Kluyveromyces lactis: one gene and its partners. The protein of the gene in region 2 purifies or fractionates together with the protein of the main gene of each other region. This does not show direct contact. Links are inferred from orthologs where the notes say so. Each region holds a gene or a part of one and is shown on either strand. Other genes may lie near its edges. The genes, in order: RPN9, RAD23 and RPN12.

Region 1 (8,162 bases), on a different chromosome or scaffold from region 2:
TCAAAATTATAGAAAGAAGACAGAGGCTATTATCAAGGTTTTTAAATAACTGCCATAAAGTGAGAGAGATAAGGAATCATATCGTGTTTCAAAAATTCTTGAATCCAGAATATTTCTGGAAGGAAGTTTTAAATACCCCACCGATCTCAATCCTACCAATGAATAATCTTTTAGCGCCTCCATTAAATCCCACGAAACCAAGCCCCATACATTTATTATTGCCAACACCTACGGTGCTGACAATGCGTAAGCATGAACAATTGATAGGCCGGAACGATGTGATGGAGATCAAGTTCGCGGATTACGATTCAGATCTCATCAGGTACAAGGCGATCCTACAACCTTTGAACAAGACCGTTAGAAGTATAAGGTCGAATATTCAAACTTATTCGGCTGTTTTATCTGAACTCGGCGCGTATTTCAACGCGTTCAGTCTAGAGAATAGCGTGTTTCAAGTGAGTGCATTATTTGAACAAATGAATCGTCTATCGATGGGAATAGAGAAGACAGGTCAAGCAATCGATGTGAATTATGTTAGTGCAGAGATATTTAGTGAAGCAATCATGATCAGTCTAGAAGAGGGAAGCAAAGAAATGCTTCAGTTCATTCATGAAGCACAAAGAGTTCTTCACTTCAGAAATTTCAAGCAAGAACAATTTTACACAATTGAAACTACGATAAAGAAGAGGAAAGATAGAATCCGTGAATTGAAAGAGGCAGACCTACAAGCTGTACGATTGGGCGAGGCATTGAAATTAAATGCAGAGGAATCACCCACCGTTGCTCAAGTTATGGACTCCATGACGCGTAAGTCAGCAAACAAGAATCACACGGACAAACAGATAATGGGGCTTTTCAGGTCATCAGCATCTCCAAACAACAAGTCTGGATCTGATTCGATTTCAAGTGAAGTCGAACCTCATCTTCTAACTAAAGACGAACGGGTTGTACAGGTAAACAAACTAGAAAAGGAACTTGAAAAACTGAATGAATGTTTCAAACTCATCGAAAAGGACTTACAACAAGTCAATGAGTCAATGGATAACTCTTTGAATAACTTAGAGAAATATTTCCATGAGAAGTGGTTCCTCATTTTCCGCGAACTAGCCCACAATATAACATCATGGTTAAAGGATTGTTCAGAGTCTTGGAAAAATGCCAAACAGTCTATAGATAGCATATAAAAGGTTTATATCTCAAAAAGAAAGGCATGAAGTATTGCATTGAACTACATTATTTGATGATGAAAGTGCAGATGGAGATGATTTGCTGTCACATATCTAGTTCATCCACTTCTCACAGCATTTGTTTGGAGAATTGTCATTATTAACGACTTTCATGCTTCGATTGACGTTTTGTAAATATGAAATATATAGATCGATACACCTTCTGAAATGTAAGGTGGCGAACAGAATATTAAAGATTATAGATTAAGGCATACATCGCACGACTAACAGCACTTCAGCAAGCTTAAATAGTCAAAATATGACACACGAAATTGACACCATATTATCTACATTGAAGCAGGAAGTCAATAGTGAATTGGCCCCATTATTCGACGATTTTGAAGACTTGTATGAGAGGAAGCTATGGCATCAGTTAACTGAGAAGCTAGCGATTTTTTTCCATGATAGCAAATCAGAATCGTTCAGACTTCGCCTTTATACCCAATTTGTCAGTAAGTTCATTGACAAGATAAACCAATTGAATGTTGTTGAGTTTTTGTTGCAAGCATTACAAGAAAACGATGACACAGAAGAATCATTACAATATCTAAAGGATCTTCAAAAGGAATTCAAAGAAATTGATGAAAAGAAGCAAAGAAACGATGGTTTAAAACCTCATGTAAATGGGAACTTGTTGTTAGATATTGAGATTGCTCGTGTGAAATTGGAAAAGGGGGACCTAGTTGAGGTCAGAGACATCCTAGACGCTATTGGGAAAACACTTGATGTTCAAGATTCGGTACCTCTCAGAGTTACCGGTGCCTACTACTCGTGTAACGCTTCCTATTACCAAGTAAAGAAAGACTTCAACAATTTCTATTATACCAGTCTTTTATATCTCTCAACAATCACTTCGGAAGAACAACAGCAGCGATTGACACAACTCGAACAACAACAATTGGCATACAATTTGTGCATTGCAGCATTGTTAGGTGACAATATCTATAATTTCGGTGAACTACTTCAGCATCCAATTATTTCAAGTATTTCAAACGATAAAGAATACGAATGGTTATTCAGATTCTTGAACGCATTAACTGAAGGGGATTTCCAAAAGTTTGATCAAATTTCAAAAGAAAGAATTCCCAAGGTACCAATCTTAGCTCAACATGAGTCATTCTTGAGACAAAAGATTTGTTTGATGACTCTAGTAGAAAGCGTGTTTGCAAAGTCTATCAGAACGTTGTCTTTCCGCGATATTGCAGATGCCACATTTTTACCTATCGACAGTGTTGAACATTTAGTAATGAGAAGTATCAGCTTAGGATTGTTGAAGGGATCAATAGATCAAGTCCAACAATTGGTTACAATTACGTGGGTTCAGCCTAGGATCATCAACCAAGAGCAAATTAAAAAAATGAAAGATAACTTGATAAAATGGCAAGATGAAGTGTCGAAATTGGGTAATAAGATTGAAGGAAGGGGTAAAAGTATTTGGGTATAATGCTTAAGTATCGTCACATATTATATACTACGTACATCCGCTTAATATCTATGAAAAACGAAATCCACCAACATGTTTCATTGATCGGTTTGAATTTCTGAAAGAGTTAGACGATATATCTTGGAGTTTGTAATATACAGGTAGATACGTAACACACATAGTACTCGAATGTAGTAATTATACACATATGCTATTGTATCGTTCGAGAGCAAAATGGGTCAAAGAATGTCATATAATATAACCGTATGATGCTGAGTGATATGCTCATTTGTTCAACCAGGAAGTAAGATTATTAGGATACACATACGTCACGCTACGCAGAGATATCCCATGTTATGAAAGGAATGGGATAAATTGTAGGGAACAAATAAGCTGTAAGATAAGATGCAACAACTTTGAAGGTAGAAGTAAAGAGACCTTGGTATTGAAATAATGGGTTTAGAACTTAGTTTTGAAGTAGTTTTTCTCTTCAAAAAATACTATATCAGTTTGATCAGCGAGTTCTTACAGTTTATCATTCTTCTTTCTTTGGTTTTGGCTTAGACCATTCTGCGTGTAACATGAAATTCATGAAACCTCTGCCTTCCAATAATTTCAAAGCTTGAGCAGCAATTTCTTCAGTTTGGAAAGTAACGTAAGCAACACCACGGGATCTACCAGTTTCTGGGTTCTTGACGACGAATACTCTAGGAATCTCACCGAATGGGAAGAGTAATTCTCTTTTAAGCACTTCTTCATCTGCAAGTTCGTTAACCTGGGTCAATCTAATAGTCTTTGCATCATCACGTTCTCTTTGGTCTTGGTAAGCATTAGAAGATGGATCACGAGCACCAGCACGTAGGGATGGTGGCACGTATCTGCCAGAGCCAGAGCCTCCTTGAGCGCTCATATCTCCACCACCGATAGCCGGGTCTAAACCAGCAGATGTAGTAGGTTTCTTTCCCAAAGTGTCTTTGTACGGACAATGCATGGTGAAATGCGCACCACCACAAATTCTACAAGTAATTACCTTTTGAGTCGAGTTAGCAGCCTTCTCCTTTGCCTTTTCTTCTTCCATTTCCTTCCAGTTAGGAGACAAGTCTAACTCTAATTCTTCACCTAATTGAGTGGTTGAAATATCTGGTCCTGGGGCAGCTCCCTTATCAGCACCATATTTCTTCCAATTTCTTCTCAAGGCGATGTTCTTGTTAACTTTCTCGGTGACAGTAATTTCCTTAACCTTCTGCGTAACCTTGTACTTCTTACCATCTTGGATTTTGAAACTGATGACGGTTTTGGAACCATCGTCATTCTCGATGATTCTTGGTTCAGGAATAGCTGACATGTTGTGAATCTTTGTATTATCTCCTTAAAAAAATAGGATTGTAGAAAAAATTCCTTTAATTTCTAGACGCGTGTTATACTATCAACAATTAAGAAGCCCAATTCTGATTTGAGGTATGTCAAATATCCTCCTTTCAAGTTATGGGTCTGTAGATAATCTGATCGATATCAATTAATTCTCTTTGAAGAAAAAAACTTCGCACAGATGATAGTCTCAAATTTTTGTTTCAGTTCTTTATTGAAACACGTAAATCGGATACACTTGGCGCAGTATACTCCTTTCTTCTATCAAACAGCTGGATGAAACCCTATGCACCTTCTAGGGTCACCTTACCATTACGTTTATTTTAGCAGGTAACTTAGAACTCATTTGAATTTCCATTTTTTTCTCTTCTCTTTCGCTGATTTTGCCTCTGTCTCTATGCGATGAGCTTTGGAAAATTTTCAAAATTTTCATCAGTAATGTATATCGTGTTGCACGGGTGTAACAGAGATCCGTAAGCTCCAGCACTAATTAGTTACCTTAATTATACCGTACTGTGTACACCAATCAATTCAGTTAATACCTTCTTGTTGATAAAAGCGTAGAGTAACTATATGCGAATACTTAACTTGACTTGTGAATATGTATCTGTTTCACGTGATATGAAGTACGGATCATTTTTATGTATATTGCATATTCATCAAAACGTATGTAGTGATTTGACAAAATTTTGATTATCCATTACTTCTTCTTTAGCAATGTATCCGACCCAATCAATACTGAAAGTAGTGGGAGTTCATCAATTTCTGCATAGGACGGTGTATCATCGGAAAGTATTAAGGGCAGAAAGTAATATTATCCTGCGTACTTCTCTGTCTCAAATTCAAATTCAAGGAATTTCACAGAGCTAAGGATATCATATATAAACTGCAAACGAACAGGAAAACGATGGCCAAGGCTAAGACAAAGACTACAGTTATCAAACTGATATCAACTGCTATGACAGGTGTGAGCCGTCATGTCACGATAAATAGAGCTGCACCATTAGTGACGCAGGTGAGGTACGACCCTGTAGCTAAACGTCATGTTTTGTTCAAAGAGGCCAAGAAAAGAAAGGTTGCAGAGAGGAAACCATTGGACTTCTTACGTACCGCAAGACGTTAATGAATTGTATTTAACAATTTAACCACACCATTTGCATGTATATAGAAAACACTCACACTGCAATAACTACCGTTGAAATAGACGTGATTTAAGAGTTCTATAGTAGTATCGGTTTGTAGTAAAGAAACGAAATTTTTAACTAAATTACATTTACTTAATTCACTTATTTAATTGGTTTCTGAGACTAATTTGGGCAAGACTATATATACAACATCCACATCGCGTGGAGTAATTTGGAGATAATAAGATGAACAATTGATAGGTTTGTAAATTATCGTGAGGCAATAACTTGTATGATTATTTCTAATTATTTCCACCCCACGTACTTCCACCACCTCTAGCATCCTGATTACCCCAAGCAGATCTATTGCCGCTATTGTTGTGTTGGGATGCATTGCCCCATGCGGATCTCTCTCCTGAGTTATGCTGCGATTGATTGTTACCCCAAGTGGAACTTCCACCGGTGTTTTTAGATCGTTGTGATTTATTACCACTGCCACCCCAGGCAGAGACACCTCCCTGGTTACCACCCCAGGTAGAAGTACCTCCATAGCTTGATTTATTGCCACCGCCCCAGGCAGAAGCTGCTCCTGATTCTCCGCTTGCTGCCCAAGAAGAGGCGCCTCCATAACTAGATTTATTACCCCAAGTGGACGCACCACCCCAAGTTGATGTAGCACCTTGCCCACCCCAGGTGGAAGTGTTTCCAGCAGCTCCACCCCAGGCAGAAGCACCACCAGGGCCTTGTCCGCCCCATGTCGAAGCACCACCCCAGGATGAAGTTCCTCCGTTCTGGCCAACCGCAGGAGTTTTACCGCCATCAAATGCATTCCAACCAGGAGTCATTCCACCAGGAAGTTGTTGCGGAGTGTTCGTTGCCACCGCACCACCGGCAGCCATGTGTCTTGGTGCACTGACATAGCTTGGGCCCAATCTGGTATGTGGAGTTCTACCACGTCTACTAACAAGTTCATCGTATGTTATACCTTCACCACCTTCATGACTGAAGTAAGTAAGTTTTCTTTTGTCTATTGTAATATGCTTATTTTTGGAGTGCAATTCAATAGTAGCCTTATCTCCATTGACGTCTTTGACAATACCCAACTGCCCCTTGTATCCCGCAGAACGTATCCTAACAGTTTTGTTCAAAGCGACGTCACGGCCAACTAACCGCGTCTGCTGAGTAGTTTGTGGTGGTCCCATCTTAGACGCAATATTTGGATTTATTTTAGATAAATCCAATGCTGACGACATCAAGTTTTCTTTTGAGGCGACAGCCTCGACATTCATTGGATTAACAACGAAAACACCGGCATTTTCCGTTATTGTTTTCGATCTAATGAAAATATGTTGGTTTTGAACGTAGAGTACTTGTCCCTCTCTACGGGAACCGATCTTTTCTCTTACTACATCGCCAATTTTTATTTCTCTACCATTACCATCGACAGCAGCTACTTTCGCTCTTGCTACATTGATCTTGGCAAGAATTGAGCCTTTAGTAACAGTAGCCACTTTACCGGAGTCGTCAATAATCTTGAAAATATCATGTCCAGCCTGGATCACACATGCCACGTTTTTGGCACTTAACTCAACAATGTCATGTAGAGCGTACTCGCTTGATGTCGGAGTAGAATCCATAGATTTACTCAAGTTATTCGCAGAGATTGTCAAATTTTCTCTAGTTTGGTCAGAAACAAATGTGACTTGACCGTTCTGCACCAAAAGAACCAAACCAGCGTTACCTTCATGTTCACCAGCTATTACTGTGACATGGTCACCAAGTTCGAAAATTTTTCTTAGAGATGCAATTGGGAACTCTAATGATTTATCTGAAAAGCCCGATAGTTTAACGCTGATGACGTCTTTAGAACTTCTAGTCACCACACCTCTAGATCCACGTTGTTCCCCGGTCAACACTTCAACACGGTCACCTGGTTGAAACATAGCTTTAGAAGCTTGAGCTTTTTTCATAGTTTGAGCAATAGCTGCTAGATCGACATCACCTTCTTTACTGCCGAACCTTGATAATTCTTCCACCGTAGGTTGGATATTCTTTGTATCAAGATACTGAATCTTAAAAGATTTGAAAAGATAACCGTCAACATAATCTTCCTTCCTGTAAGTGAAGTGCCTGTCATCTCTTTTGAATAAGTTGGCTTGGTCTAACCTTAATGCCATAGTAGGGTTAAATAATTGAGGAGGAGGCCTACTAGCAAACGTTGCTCTCTTTGCCTTTCTCTGATTTGTATCTGGGTCGATTTCGTCATTTTTACCGTAGTCTAATCTGGGTACAATCTTTAATAGAGCTTCTAAGTTGTTCTGACTAATTTGATCAATGACTGCCAAATCATTCTTATAAATACCCCTTTTAATTCTAACATAAGAACCAACATCAAGTCTCACTTCATCTGACTTGGTAGGCTTTAATAGTAAAGGTAGTTCTTGCACGGGAATCAAAAGCTTTTGATTAGAATAGACATCTGGAACACCGTTGACAAATTTTTCGATAACAGATTGTTTTGGAGCTTCGATATAGATTCTTCCTGTGTAATTGTCTCTTTGGAAGATGGACAGAATCTTTAATTTTTTAGAGCCCATAGATTTATCCAAGTTAAACTTCTTATTTAGCAACTTTCTCACTAGTTCTTTCTCCTTCCCTGGTCTACAACGAACGGACCAAATAATAGCAGTATCAACACTTGGTAACATAAACCTCTGAGGTACATACCCACCTTGAGTTTGTACACGGTAATCTTTGGAAGAGTCACGACCATAACGTTTCTTGAAGTCTTCAGCGATCTTGTGCATGTCTTCATCCGCAGTTTTTTGAAGATTTTGATCTAATTCTCTATGCAGTCTGTCATCAACTCTACCACCACGATCCTCTTCGTCTTCTTCGTCACCGCGAGTAATGAAACCTTCACGAACTAGTTCTGAATCTTCTTCATCTTCTTCGTCGTCTTCGTCTTCACTGACTTCGGCTTCAATATCCAAGAATCTGTTTCTTTCACGACGTTGCTTC
Region 2 (7,770 bases):
CTCGTCGTCGAACTGAAAAAAAAAGTTTGAAAAATTTAGTTTCGATCATTTTGTACAGAGAGAGTGAAAGAGAGAGCGAGAGGGAAAAACACCGATGTATTTCATAGTCGTGTAAAGTTTGTAGAGTGTGAAAACAGAAAGAAAAAGCAATTCGTACGGTAGGTCTTTTTTTTCTACTTTCCCATCGTCTTCTCCCTTGCTATTCTAGTCTGCTATGGGGATTGTATGTTTTCCAAATGGCATATTCTAGTTTTTTAACGGCATTCACTGACAGATCGAAGTCAATAATATAGGCAACGTTGGCACATAATTGTATCGGTTGCGGAACGATTTGTATAATGTACAATTTTGATACGTAGTTGTGTATAATTCATCTTTGATGGCGAAGAGCTGGGTGGATTCGCCAGTCGACAGATCCAAAGAACCTGAGGCCGCATTGAGGGAAACAGGCACGGACCATGATATATCACCGTACACGGTAAGCTCACGGAATCCTCTCGTAAGCAGTAGGAAAAAGGGAAACCCAACGATGCCCGGGTAACATATACATATCACTATACACGTATTTATTTGGTCCTTTGATTGCCGCCTGGCATTCCCAGGCATTGGAATGAGATGAAACATGTCACGTGACTGTACGGGAAGAACAGACATCCGCTATCTTTCCAGCCTTTTTGTTCCGTTATGTTGAATGGCCGTAGTAGAGGTTCTGTTACAGTGCGAAAAGGCGGTAATTGAGCCGGGAAAAAGTAGAGTTGCTTCTTATCTACAACAACTTACGGTCCCCAACAGTGCCCTGAGAGTTGAATCACTGGTTCCCACACCTTATAACTGCGTGTAGGGTCTGGCAGTTCCTTTTTATTTACCTTTTCCAAATTTCAGTTTATACACTTTTTTTTTTTTTTTTTTTTTGGCGAAGAAATTGAAATGGATGAAAACAATGCAACTATACAATCGAAAATAGTAATATTTTATAAGTATTTATTATGGCACAGACCATATTATCTGTTGCAAACGCTAAAGGAAAAAGGTTTGTCATTTAAAGCAGCCGATTATTATTCCAGAAGGTGTCATAATACACAGGGTTAGCACCGCCCAGGATTAGTGAGAAAGGAAGAACACATAAGGATCTTTTGACGAGCGTGCATTTTATAGATCTATTGTGAAAAATTGCGGTATCAAAATTTCTTCGAACAATAAAATACAATCGCTAAAGCTGTGGAGGAATAAAAACATCCGGATCCATCGCTCTTTACTTTTGAAATCACTTCTATTCTCGATTCCTGGAAATTCAAATATTCTACACAACGTCATACAACCGTCATAGATGGGCAGCAAGGGTAAGAGCAGGTTCAATGCCTTGACTGCTGTGTCCGTGATAGGATCAGTGGTAACGGGGTTTCTTATAATTCGAATGATTTTCCCAATCATATGGCAGTTCGTACCGTTCGTCTCAAGTCCTGTAACTGGTAACAGGTTCAGAAATATACCTGGAGTGGAATATTACGATTTAATTAATTATCAGGGGAATGCCAATGGATGGCAGACCGGTGATAGGGTGGTGTTCTGTGTTCCTTTGAGAGATGCAGCCGCACATTTGGATATGTTCTTCGATACCTTGGATAAATTGACATACCCACATAACTTGATTGATCTTTCATTTTTGGTCAGTGATTCAAGCGATGATACCATGAAAACACTTCTTTCTCATTTGAGAAGAGCTCAATCAAACCAAGACAAATCGAGAAGATTCGCTAACATTGAAATTTTTGAGAAAGATTTCGGTCAAAGTGTGGGTCAATCGTTTTCTGATAGACACGGGTTTGCAGCTCAAGGCCCTAGAAGAAAATCCATGGCCAGAGCTAGAAATTGGCTTGGGTCAGCGGCTTTGAAGCCGTATCATTCTTACGTGTACTGGAGAGATGTCGACGTTCAAACTATACCGAATACTATTTTGGAAGATTTAATGCATCATGATAAAGACGTCATTGTTCCAAACGTCTGGAGACCTCTACCCGATTGGTTGGGAAATATACAACCATATGATTTGAACTCATGGGTTGAATCTGAGGGTGGATTACAATTAGCTGATTCTTTGGATGAAGATGCTTGTATCGTAGAAGGGTACCCGGAATACGCTACATGGAGAACACATTTGGCCTACATGAGAGACCCAAGCGGCGATCCCGAGGTCGAGATGGAACTAGACGGAATTGGTGGTGTTTCCATCTTATCTAAAGCTAAGGTCTTTAGAACAGGTTCTCATTTCCCTGCGTTCTCTTTCGAGAAACATGCTGAAACTGAAGCCTTTGGTAAATTATCACGTAGAATGCAATACAGTGTTGTCGGTCTACCTCATTATGTGATCTGGCACATTTACGAACCTTCAAGTGACGATTTGAAACACATGGCCTGGATGGCCGAGGAAGAGAAACGTCGGGTTGAAGAGCAAAAAATTCAAGAGTTCTATGCTAGAATTTGGGATATTGGTTTCGATGACGTGAGAGATGAGTGGGAGCTAGAAAGGTTACAAATTTTGAAGAACATTGATCCGAATGTCCTAGATAGGAAGATTCAAGTGGACTGGTCAGATGATGATGAAGCAGATGATGGTTCAAGGAACGGAGGAAATAATCAAGATTCACATGAAGTACCACTGGACTTTGATCCTGCTCATTAATAATTTTCTGTTTAGGCAGTGAAGAGTAAAGAAGATTATAAAACCCACAAATACATTCTTCACTAACGAGATATTTTTTAAAAAGATATCTTAACCATCTAATTTCAATTCTCATCGCTTCCATCCCCTATTATTATTCAATTATTAGGCAGACTGTAACACGTTGGAGTATCTAGTTGTACAATATGCACCTTAGATCATTATCGAGGTTTTTATCAATAGACTTTTTTTTACATTTACGTTTAAATGCATTATATACTAATATTGTACTTGCAATAATCTGTTCATTTTGTTTACTTCAAACCATATTACTACTGGTAACTATTACAGGCAAGCAAATACTGAAAACACGTTATCAAGCTGCATTAAGCTGTAATTTTCAGCGTATTCCGGAGTTCTGCATCTTGTCAGATACCTTCAGTTTTTTTTTTTGTCAACATCGAAAATGAAAGTTGAGAACAGTGAAAGAAATTGAAATTAATGCCAAATCAACTTGAATCTGATGGCTGGGTGGCAAAGAAGATAAAGTCAAGAAAACAACCGTTGAGACAAAGTCCAAGAAAATCACAAGCATAATGCTTATTAATTTTAAAGATTTCAAAAAGGAAAAACTACCTATTGAATTGGCGGATGATGCCACCATTTCACACGCCAAGGAATTGATCGCTGAACAAAAACAGTGCGATGCATCTCAAATAAAGTTGATCTACGCAGGTAAGATACTCCAGGATCCTAAGACCGTATCAGGATGCAATCTTAAGGAAGGGGATCAGGTTATATTCATGATTAGCAAAACTAAGAAAAAGGCTGATGTTAAGGTAACTGAATCCACAACTGAACCCCAAGATGAATCTCAAGCCACTGCTTCTGCAGAAACTTCTGCAGTTGCAAATGCACCTGCGGAAGCTACAACCACTGGTACAAGAACAGGTACTACTGCAGTTACACAAGAAGAAGGGACGACTGATGCTTCGTTTGTCACTGGTTCTCAACGTAACGAGACTGTGAACAGAATCATGGAAATGGGTTATGATCGTGAACAAGTAGAACGTGCGCTTAGAGCAGCATTCAACAACCCTGACCGTGCAGTGGAGTATTTGCTTATGGGTATTCCTGAAGCCAGTGAGCCATCGCAGCAACAAGCTGAAGCTGTAACTAGTGAAGCTGGGGCGAATGCTAATTCTGAAGTTGCAACAGACGTGCCATCACAATTCACTGAACATGAAGACAATTTATTTGCACAAGCAGAAGCCAATAATGGCGAGCAAGGTCATGAATCCGCTGCTGGTTTAGGTGGAGAAGAAATGGGCACAATCGGATTGACTATGGAGGACATTACACAACTTCGTGACGTTGTATCTGGGCGTCCAGAGGCTTTAATGCCACTTTTCGAGAGTCTAAGCACGCGTTACCCACATCTCCGTGAGACCATGCTGCAAGATCCACAAAGGTTTATCTCTTTGCTATTAGAAGCTGTTGGCGGTTCCCTAACCGATTCTTTGGGTGAAAATCTGGGAGATGACATAGCAGAAGGTGATCTAGGTGATTTCGGGGGACAAACTCAAGGCGCGCCTCCCAATGTTACTATCTCAGCAGAAGATGAAGAAGCTATCAATAGACTTTGCGAGTTGGGTTTTGAGAGGACCTTGGTGGTGCAAATCTACTTCGCATGTGACAAAAACGAAGAAATTGCTGCCAACATGCTATTCAACAATTACGCTGATTGAATGTAGTATGATTTTTCAATAAACCATCGTCTCTTTAGGCATGTAGGGAAAGAAGAATATGTTCAAAATAGAAAACAAAAATAATTATCTCTACCAAATTTGTTTAATAATATGGAATATGCGTACTCATATCTCCAGCATGTAGTGTTTGCCAATCCAAGTATGACCTCTATACCGTCAGATTTTCCTACTACAGCGAAGGCATCCCACATATTCATCTTCCAATTTTTGCACACATACGCACTCATAATGAGCAGTTATACTTAACCAACCTTAGTCAATCTGCAACAGACGGAGCGTGGTATGTTCGATCTCTTACTTCCAACTTCAAGTAGGATTTGTGTTACAATCAATCAGATATCCCCTTCATTAATTTTTTTAAATTTATTCATCATTACACTATATCCTTAGTCCCAATTCAGAGAACCAGTGTACCTTAGACATGTCTTATATAGATGAGAAGTTATTAAGCGCTTTATATTTTTCTGCATTAGATACCGGGTTGTTTCCAGGCCTCAATGCCAAGATGGTGCTGATGCCTACATCCAAAGCTGCGTCTAACTCCTTGTCATTGTCGCTAATAAACACAACATCACTTGCTGATGATGGAGGCACTCCAATGCTTTTGAGAATATTGGTGTAAGATTGAGGTTCAGTTTTCTTACCGGACGTGTTAATGTCGAAGTAGCCAGCAATGGATTTCGTTAAATCGATGTCCCCTTCTACGTGTTGGAACAAGAGTATTTGCGCCTTTACTGACCCTGAGGAGTATATGTAAACATTAGGAGCATGTCTCTGAATGAAATCAATTGCATCTGGATACACTGGCGCCTTGATCTCACCACTCTTGTAACCCTGCTCCCAAATATACCCTTGTAATTGCTTCAACACGGAATCCTTGATGTCGTTATTAACTAGCGATTCAATATGTTCATGCAAAGAAGAAGCATCTTGTGGGACAGGAAATTGGGCAAGTAAGTTCTGCAAAGTAGGGTCATTAGTCTTGACAAGAGATTCCACCTGTTTCAAGAAAAAAGGGTATAGCGTGTCTTTAACAAATGAGATAGGGCAAACCGTACCTTCAATGTCCAAGATATATTTCAATTGACTCATTGTCACTTAATTGAAATCTCAGTTTTCCAGTAAACGCAAATAACTGTGCCTTAAAGCTCTTTTTTCTAATGACTGTGATTAATTCCAAGCTCCTATTCACTAGGCGTACCGAACCAACATGGTCGTGAAGAACATCAGATTGGAATAGGTTTACAAAATATTCAGTTTTACAGTTTGCGAGATGAGATGCGGAAATCAGTCTTGCGAGAATGGAATGAAGCATAGGCAATGTTGGACAACGGCTACACCTTCCTAAAAAGGAAAAGAATGCAGCTTAGCTTAACTTGAAGGTTTCCCAAAGAGGATACTGGAGACGGCGCAAAAATTAAATAACTGAAAATATGCCACAAACCACGTGATCACGACGGAACGTTCCACACACGAACCCAGACATCACAATGCGCAGTATTTTCCTGCTTATCTATCGTAGCAAAACCGCGTTAGACAATCCTTTCGAGTGGATTGAATTTGGTAATCTAAGATTAAGGGTATCCATTTTGACAGGTTTCTCGGTAGGCCGATCTACAGTTGTCAAATGAAATGGCACTACTTCTATGTAGTTACATTATCTTGGGGCAAAATGTATAACGTGATTATTCTAAGATGGGAATAGGCTAGCGATCGTAAGGCTGAATTCTGTTTATTTACTTTATGTTGTTCTTAACGATTGAAAGACTGTATCTTTAGATCTTGTTCAGTTCGTAGTTGAACTGATGCGGAGGGGAGATACAACTAAGCTTCCTGCTGTTAGTATGGTCAGACGGTTTTTCGCTTTGTAGGGGTACATCGTAAACAATTCATTTTGTTAGAGTCGCTTGTGAGAGGATATTATTATGCATTATGCGTAGATACCTCGATTGCAATACAGATATCATTGGATAATCTAAACAAGGTAGCTCCTGCCGGTTGCTTACTTTAAGTTCCATTATGAGGGAATAGGATGATTCGAAGCAAGTATTAGTCTTGAAATTTATTTATAAAGGGCGTCTGTCAGAAGGATGGTTCTACTTATTCGTTGTTTGTTAACTCACATATTTCTCTATTACATCTTTGCATCCACTCAGCAAACAAAAACTCAAACCTCAAACAAGTTTTATTATAATACAAAGATATACTCATGACTGTCGAAAACGAAAATAACTCTTACGTCTTCCAAGGATACATCACTAAAAAGTTACCTCATGTCAAACGCGGTGAAGGATGCAGAATTGTCGTTGAAAAAGATGGCAAGTTACATGAAGATGTCTTCGATGGCATCACTGGTGCTGCTGTCGGGGCATTGGGATGGGGTGATGAGGATATCCATGGGATCATGACAGAAGCAGCCAAGAATCACACTTACACTTTCCCATCTTTAATCGGTAATTCACAATCTGAAGAATTGGCTAAGTTCTACATTGAAAACTCTCCAAAGGGCGCCTTTGAATCCGCTTTGTGGTGTTGCTCTGGTTCTGAAGCTAACGAAAATGCTATGAAAATCATTAGACAATACCAATTGGAGCGTGGCCAACCAAAAAGAACTAAGATCATCTCTAGAGAATCTTCTTACCATGGCTTCACTTTGGGTGCCTTGTCCATCTCTTCTAATCCAAGAGCCGAACAGTTCAAGGAAATCTTGATGGACCAAAAAGAATTATGCCTAAAGATGCCTGTATGCTACCCATACAGATTCATGAAGAAAGGTGAAACCGAAGAAGAATATTGTGCCAGATTGATTCATAGCCTGGAACAATTGATCTTAGACAACGACCCAGAGACTATCTCTGTGGTTCTCGTTGAGACATTGCCAGGTTCCTCCTTAGGTACTACTCCACCACCAAAGGGATATCTATCAGGTATCCGCCGTATCTGTAATAAGTACGACGTTGTGTTCATGCTCGATGAAGTCATGTGTGGTACTGGTAGAAGCAACCCTAACGGTAAGTTGAACTGTTGGGAGAATTTCTTGACAGCTGAAGAAGCCCCAGATATCCAAAGTGTTGGTAAGACCTTGGGTTCCGGATACGTTACCATAGCCGGTGTTTTAGTTGGTCCAAAAATCAAAAAAGCATACGCCGAAGGTTCGAACTGTATGATCGGTTCCCACACTTATGCATCTCACGGTTTTAACTGTGCCGTTGCCCTTGGTGTGCAAAAGAAGATCTTGGATAACGATTTAACTAAAAACATCTTTGAAAAGGGTAACTTGATGGGTCAGAAATTGAAGAAATCTCTGCTAGCTTACGATAACATCGTCGGTGATGTCAGAGG
Region 3 (7,625 bases), on a different chromosome or scaffold from region 2:
AATGACAAGTGGGAAACGCTCTTTCATAAACGCAGATTTAGTAAGCATAATAGCAGCCAAACGGTCCAAATTGAAGAGACTCTCCATATCTAATGGTGATGTTAACCCAGTTGCTACTCTGAACGAGACAGTTGAGCAATCTACAATGTCCAATGTCACTTTCCAATTAAGCGATAAAAGTTTCCATAATGCTGAAGAGAAAGTAATCATTTTTAATGCAGAGTATATTGCCAAAAACTACAAGTTGATCAATTTCTTACATCAGAACAACTTTTGTGTGCTTGAGATGGATTTGGGGGATCATTCGGATATCTTGTTAGACGCATCTACCTGTCTCATTCTTCGAAATATTACTTCAGTGTATCAGAAACAGGTCGACAGCTTCCCGTTACTCCGAGCAATACAAGAATTGAAGTGTAAATATAAAAGAGTGGTAATCTTCTTATCGTACTCAGAACGATCGTTAGCGTTAGATTCCAACTTAGCTTACAAGACCCAACTTTTATTAAACTGTCTCGGTGGGACAACAACTCATCTAGTTGAGGAAACACAACTCAAATTAACAGCAACGTGGATTTCATTATATTGTGGTACCAATACGCCCAATGAACAGCAAATTTATCGCATGAGCCTTAGCAAAGAGGTCTTACAACATTTCGACATCAATCCAATCGCAATTGAAAGTATTCTGTCACTCACCTCATTAGAAGAATTCTTATCAATAAGTTATGGAAAAAGAGCCCTACTATATGGCAAATTTCTCACAGAATACCAACTAGCTCATATTGATGATTTTGTGACAATGAGTTGGTCAGAGTAAATTCATTCTCATACGTCGGCTCGAATGAACCTTACCCATCCAAGCTAAACTCACGATCTATTTCAACCAGTCATATTGAACGAACTCTTCTAGTATTGGTTTCCTGATTTTGATGAACCTTTTTTTTCCCTTCGAAAATGGAACTGAACCAAAACATATCAAAATAGAAAACTTGAAAATAGTTAAAAATGTACGAACCTGGCAAAGCTGTATCATTCCGAAAGCATAATAGTCTCGTTAAAGTTTTGATTCAGGCACCAGGAAACCTGTGACGTGATACATTGAGAACAGGGCTTGATAATCATGGTTGTACTAGCGGTTTCTATCACTACTCGTAAGGGTAAGCCTTTATTGTCTAGACAATTCAGAGATATCACGAAAGATCGTGTTATGGAATTGTTGTCGAATTTCCAGACTTTAGTTGCCAATTCCTCAAAGCAGCACACTTTTGTTGAAGATGAACATGTCAGATATGTTTACAAGCCATTTGATGATTACTATATTATTTTGATTACGAATCTTCATTCCAATATAATCCAGGATATGGACACGTTGAACATTTTTGTGCAAACGGTTGATTCTACTCTGAAGGGTCTAAGTGAGGAAGATGTTTTCGATAGTGCGTTCGATATCTTGAACTCATTCGATGAAATCATTACTATGGGCTACAAGGAGAATCTATCTTTAACTCAGATTAAGACCTTCTTAGCAATGGAATCTCATGAGGAAAGAATACAGGAAATTATTGAACGTAATAAGGAATTCGAAGCAGCGGAAGAAAGAAAGCGTAGGGCAAAAGAGATTTCGAGAAAGGAACAAGCAAGAAAATTGGGTATTCCGGACACTCAGGAATTCACCGGTATCCATGGTGGTGTTATGAACAAGGCGTATGACAGTTACTACAGCCATGCTTCATCCGCGGCTCAACAGTCACACATGCACACGCAATCTAATCAAGGTATTCAACAACAGAATTTAGCACCACAGCAACAACAGCAACAGCAGTATGCAAACCGTGAGCCTTTGGGTGGTAAAGGTTTGCAAGTCAATGGGCCAAGAAGAGGCGTTGAAAGACCGATCAAGAACGTGGAAAGACAATCATTATCAGTTCAAACAGCAACTCTGCCTGAAGAAGAAAAGCCTATCAACAATGGTATTTTAATTAGCGTAAAAGAAACTATTAACGCTGAAATTTCCCGTGATGGTGCTATCATGGGCTCAGAGTTAAAGGGTGTGTTAGAATTACGTGTTAATAACCCTGATCTTGCACATGCCAAACTATGTCTCGGTACAGACGTCAATGTCAAGGACAAAACGTATCAATTCAAAACCCATCCAAATGTGGACAAGGCTGGTTTCTTAACTAACAAAACGATCGGGCTAAGAGATCCTAACAAACCATTCCCATCCAATGATCAAAGTTTGGGTGTGCTAAGATGGCGTAAGGTTAAGGGTGCTGATGAACATGATTTGATCCCATTAGAAATTTCAACATGGTTGTCTCCATCTTCAGAAACGGATAATGCCATTGATGTTACTTTTGAATATGAAGTCAACAGTGATTACGAAGGAACTATCGATGAATTACGCTTCTTGATTCCTGTCTTCACCGATACTGTATTCATCAAAGATGATCTAAACGAGGCTAATGCAATCGTAGAGGCCATTGACGAGTCCCAAGGTATTATCATTAAGGTGGACCCAATTGAATCCGGTCAGTCAAGCGTATTCAGTGTTACTGTCCAAGCTGCTTATGAAGATGCGTTATTCCCTATCGAAGTTGCTTTAAAGAACAGCAATGCCAAACCATTGTCTAACCTAAATATTGCTTCTGTTGTATCTGCCGCAGATGACACTGAACTACCATTCGACACCGTATCTACCTTGAAGAGTGAACAATATGTCGTAGTGTAATTGCACTTTGCAGTATTAAACAGCAGCATGTGTCTCTAGCAGAAAATACTGCTACTATATAAGTAATCCTATACATGTTTGTGTATTTTTAAGAAGTAATGTACAGTGAACTCCACCAAAAGTAATAAAAAAAGCCGAAAACTGAAGAAAAAATGGTAATCTGATCCGTATGCAATTGATTAGATATGGCCTGTTAATACCTATTGCAATACGATCGGCGCATCTTGTGTCCTATCTTACCCATTGCCTGCTTTCATTTGTTCAAAGTTCCTATAAATCTACTACTATGTAATGAGAAATTCAAGATTCAGTGAAATTGAAAATATCAACATTAACTTAACTCAGACCTTGCATGAATATGTTTTGCCACCGAAATAAAGGGACAGAGATAGACAGCAACCAAGATGCCATCGTTACCAGAGCTAACCAAGGGGTTGAAGACTGCCTTTGAGGGCAAACAATATGAAACATGTTTGAGATTACTACTTCCTATCAAGATTGAATTGATTAAAGCAAAATTGTTAATACCTGATATCAAAAGCGCTAAGGAAAATCAAAGCTATCTACAGGATCTGAATATAGCAAAGAAGATACTTGAGATAGGAGCACTTTCAAGCATATACTGTGAGGATTTTGAAACTTTCATGAACTATTACTCACAGTTAAGCGCATTCTACTTTTCTGATGTGAAAGAATTGAGTGATTCAGATAGCAAGTTCAAGTTGATAAGTTTGTACTTATTAATCTTGCTAGCACAAAACGATTACACTAAACTTCACTCAGAATTTGAGTTTTTGAGCAGATACGTTACGAATTTGGAAGAGAGTTCGTACCTCTCTTATCCAGTAAAGTTGGAAAGACTTTTGATGGAAGGTTCTTATCAAAAGGCTTGGGATCTGTTACAAACAGGTTCTAAGGTTGAAGAGTTCAATGTTTTCACAAAGACTTTGAAAGAGGCTATAAGAGAGGAAATTGCTTTGAATTCTGAACAAGCATATAGCTCCTTACCATTGTTCAACGCTAAGACTCTACTATTCTTCGAGAATGAAAAGGAGATGGAGGCGTTCGCTAAAGAACGTGACTGGAGCGTCAACCATGGCGTTATCACATTTGGAAATGATTCAACTCCAGACAGGATAGAGAGTGGGGATACCGTGGATATGGCTATTGACTATGCTGTTCATTTAGAAAGTATTGTATAGGTAATATCATAAAAATATACACTTCAAGCTTGAATAGTTTTAAAATAACTAGTGCCATATTATCCAAACTGGACATAAGCATAACTAATATTATTAAGATTTAAATTTGAAATATATTCATATTTGTACATTAACACATAAGTTAGTTTACATTTGCGAAGAACAATCTGTTCCGGCCTACATATATAGAAAAATGATGTTTATATGTCTCTATGTCGATGTTGGAAAGCCAGAATGGTCAAAGCTTGTTAACTAATGATATCATGAATTGGATTGATCTAATAACTTCATAACAGAGAAAAAAAATATAATAGCAAATCTTTAGATTAATTCCTCATAATGGATTGTATGAGGGAAATCATCCTCTATCTTCTATTCTATTCGCCTTTAATACCAACAGACTTACCGGCAGCCAATCTCTTTTGAGTCAAACAAGCAATGATAGCAGCACCAACACCGGAACCATCTTCAGCAGCCACCAATTGGATTGGGTGGTCTTCCATCTTTTCGACATCCCAGTTGTAGATATCCTTCAAGGCTTGAGCGGCCTTTTCCTTGTAACCTGGGTATCTGTTGAAGACAGAACCATCAGCTGCAATGTGAGCAGTCTTGTAGCCTCTCTTGTCACAGATAGCAGAAACACCACAAACAGTCAATCTTGCAGCTCTTGTTCCGACCAATTCGGCTAATTTTCTAATCAACTTTCTCTCAACAACGGTAGTTTCGATGTTCAAGTTAGTCTTGAACAGATCGTCAGTGTCTTCCAAGTTTTCGAATGGATCATCTTCGATCTTAGATGGATAACTGGTGTCCATGACGTAAGCCTCTTTCAACTTGGAGATATCTTGGTCCTTAAAGATGAAACCACTGTCGTACAAGTCCAATAGTACTAGACGCATGATTTCACCTAGATAGTAACCAGAAGTCATCTTTTCGAAAGCTTGTTGACCTGGTCTTGGAGATTCTTCATCGATTATAACATCGTATTTGGTTCTTGGCAACACCAAATGTTCGTTATCGAAGGAACCATATTCACAGTTGATTGCCATTGGAGAATCTGGACCGATATCTTCTGGCAACAAACCTTCCAATTTCTCAATACCAGAAACAACATCGTAGTAAGCACCGTTGACACCAGTACCGATAATGATACCCATCTTAGTTTGAGGATCAGTGTACAAAGAGGCAACCAAGGTACCAGTGGTATCGTTGATCAATGCAACGACATTGATTGGGATATTCAGCTTTTCAATCTGTTCTTGTAGCATTGGAACAACATCGTGACCTTCAACACCTTCAATATCGAAACCCTTGGTCCAACGTTGCAACACACCGGAATTGATCTTCTTTTGAGATGCAGGGTATGAGAAAGTGAAACCCAATGGCAATGGTTCAGAAACACCATCTGGGTACCATTCATCGACGAATTCCTTCAAACACTTTGCAATAAATGACCACAATTGTTCAGAAGTACCAGTTCTCAAATGGTCTGGTAATCTGTACTTGTTTTGAGTGGTGTCGAAATCATGATTACCACCCAATTTAACCAACACAACTCTCAAGTTGGTACCACCCAAATCAAGAGCTAAGAAATCACCAGTTTCCTTACCAGTTGGATACTCAACAACCCAACCTGGAATCATAGGAATGTTACCACCCTTTTTGGACAAACCTTTGTCCAATTCACTGATGAAATGCTTGACAATGCTTCTCATTTTTTCTGAAGAGACGGTGAACAAAGTTTCCAAACCGTGGATTTGTTCCATCAAATTAGCTGGCACATCTGCCATGGACCCCTTTCTGGCTGGAGGCTTCTTTGGACCTAAACGAACCATTCTTGATATTTATGTAATGTAATCTAAAAGTTTAGCTTTTGCGTTAGCTCTAATACTCTTCTTATGATGCTATAACTAGTAGTATTTCTAGTAAAATAGCAATTAATCACAGCAGTAGTAGTAGTAGTAGTAAGTAGTAATGAGACTTGTATACTTTAAAACTTGGGGCTGTCTGTAATTAAGAAATGATGGTATAACAATTCACAGTGGACAAAACCTACAACTGAAAAGGAAAGAACTCTACGATAGAACAACATATTTATATATTTATATACGCAAATGATCCAGAAACTGCCACTCGCAACGTCAAGTCGGAACCAAATAGTGGTTTGCGCTTTACATTCCAAGGTCAAATTCATCTGAATTCCTGCCTGCCTCCACATTCAAATGGGATCCGTCTATATGAAGTTTTTCGTTTCTAAGGAACTTTGTGGAAGAGGAAACTTTGTGGAAGCTGAACTGAAAAAAAAAAGTTGTTGTTGAAATTTTTCCAGGCTCGCTACGGGAATAATAGGAGAAGCAAGGTTTTACCGAGAAGTCGCGGAGGAGCTAGCACAAGAGCACATTTTCAATCTCTAGTTTATGCGGGGCAGATAAATCGAAGTGGAAGTGGCGAGATGCACGCACGTACGCACGTACTCTCTGTGGTTGTATCTTATTCTGTGTTCTCTTCTTTTGTGTTTTTTTTTTTTTCACGCGGGGGATTAGAATCAGATTTGGTTGGGGGAAAAGTAGTTAAGTAGTAAACGTAACTACCTATCAGCTATATGAATTGGTTATTGCTCTCGAGGTAAGCAAGGTCAGAGGTTCTGCACATCCTTTTCTGTTATATCTCGTGCTTTCGTATCTTCTATTTGGGTGTTGAATGTATGATGTTATTCCGAAAAAATCTGGAGATATTTGTTTTGAGTTTCCACTGGCTCTTCTGAAGTGAAACTCTGGAAAATCATAGCGAAAAACTTTTACCACCGTATTTTTCCGGGCCCCGCTAGGTCTTTTTCAATGGAAGAATTTTCCGAACGGTTGTTTCAGTGCGCTGCGAAAATGAAGATGGGGGAACGGGGAAACCACCCCATACCAGAAACAAAAGCCTGATTCAAAGAGAGAGCTAGATAGAGCTTGTTTCTCTGTAAACTCAATAGATCACCTCACCATGGTATAAATCGGACGGAGGTTGCGCTTCGCTCACTGGTTTATGGTTTGCTTTGTGCTTTTTTCTTTTGTTTTTTTTTTTTTGCCAAGTTGGACTACGCTGGATCAATTGCCCATTTGACATAAGGTGATACACCTGATATAATCAATGGAGGCCACGTCTTGATGGAAACGGGAAGGAAAAGAAAGGAAAACTGAAAAGAGGGACATTGCGTCAGGTGGTCCACTCGACTTTTCTTCCCCGGATTGGCTCACTAAGACCTGGGATCATTATAGAGGAATTAAGTGTTCTGCTGTTTCAAGAGTGGCATAGCATCTATTGTATCCAGTACAAACTCTATTTATTACTGTGTAGAGGAATATTTATGGGGGGGGAAGAGAAGGAAATGAGAGGATTATTTTACGGATTTTCATAGTGAGTATCTGAATGCCGGATTCTCGAAATCCGTGAGATCAGCAAATTCTTGGTTTTCAACCACCACGTACTTGTCACCTAATTCTTCTTGCATTTTGTCCCTCCTTCTGTTTTCTCTGACGTTCAAAAATGACATTAGTCCCATTAGTGCAATGGAAGCGCAGTAACAACCGACAACGGCAGCCTTGGCCTTAGGGTAATTTGGAGCGTCTGAGGATCTGAAAGTTTGAGGTCCGACAATGTTACCAGCAGAGTATCCGATTAGAGAGATAGCGTTTGCAGTAAGT

What was found.
Region 1: the proteins of RAD23 (region 2) and RPN9 purify together in Saccharomyces cerevisiae (affinity purification with mass spectrometry; 5 studies listed by BioGRID, with this or other methods). This does not show direct contact. The link is inferred for Kluyveromyces lactis from reciprocal best matches to the Saccharomyces cerevisiae genes RAD23 and RPN9.
Region 3: the proteins of RAD23 (region 2) and RPN12 purify together in Saccharomyces cerevisiae (affinity purification with western blotting; 4 studies listed by BioGRID, with this or other methods). This does not show direct contact. The link is inferred for Kluyveromyces lactis from reciprocal best matches to the Saccharomyces cerevisiae genes RAD23 and RPN12.

The regions. Positions count from the first base shown.
Region 1 is NC_006038.1:62,799-70,960, forward strand, and holds RPN9 (proteasome regulatory particle lid subunit RPN9), read left to right. Parts: upstream 1-1,485; coding exon 1,486-2,670; downstream 2,671-8,162. Other genes in the region: SNX41 (Snx41p), read left to right, coding at 1-1,184; TIF35 (translation initiation factor eIF3 core subunit g), read right to left, coding at 3,185-3,994; MRPL39 (mitochondrial 54S ribosomal protein bL33m), read left to right, coding at 4,925-5,140; transcription elongation factor SPT5, read right to left, coding at 5,444-8,162. UniProt on the Saccharomyces cerevisiae protein: Acts as a regulatory subunit of the 26S proteasome which is involved in the ATP-dependent degradation of ubiquitinated proteins.
Region 2 is NC_006041.1:1,971,272-1,979,041, reverse strand, and holds RAD23 (Rad23p), read left to right. Parts: upstream 1-3,255; coding exon 3,256-4,407; downstream 4,408-7,770. Other genes in the region: KLLA0_E22177g (uncharacterized protein), read right to left, coding at 265-654; ANP1 (Anp1p), read left to right, coding at 1,328-2,680; putative acireductone synthase UTR4, read right to left, coding at 4,855-5,520; KLLA0_E22089g (uncharacterized protein), read left to right, coding at 6,638-7,770. UniProt on the Saccharomyces cerevisiae protein: Plays a central role both in proteasomal degradation of misfolded proteins and DNA repair.
Region 3 is NC_006040.1:971,517-979,141, reverse strand, and holds RPN12 (proteasome regulatory particle lid subunit RPN12), read left to right. Parts: upstream 1-3,138; coding exon 3,139-3,936; downstream 3,937-7,625. Other genes in the region: ZIP2 (Zip2p), read left to right, coding at 1-820; RET2 (coatomer subunit delta), read left to right, coding at 1,124-2,734; KLLA0_D11352g (hexokinase), read right to left, coding at 4,314-5,771; KLLA0_D11330g (uncharacterized protein), read right to left, coding at 7,334-7,625. UniProt on the Saccharomyces cerevisiae protein: Acts as a regulatory subunit of the 26S proteasome which is involved in the ATP-dependent degradation of ubiquitinated proteins. Necessary for activation of the CDC28 kinase.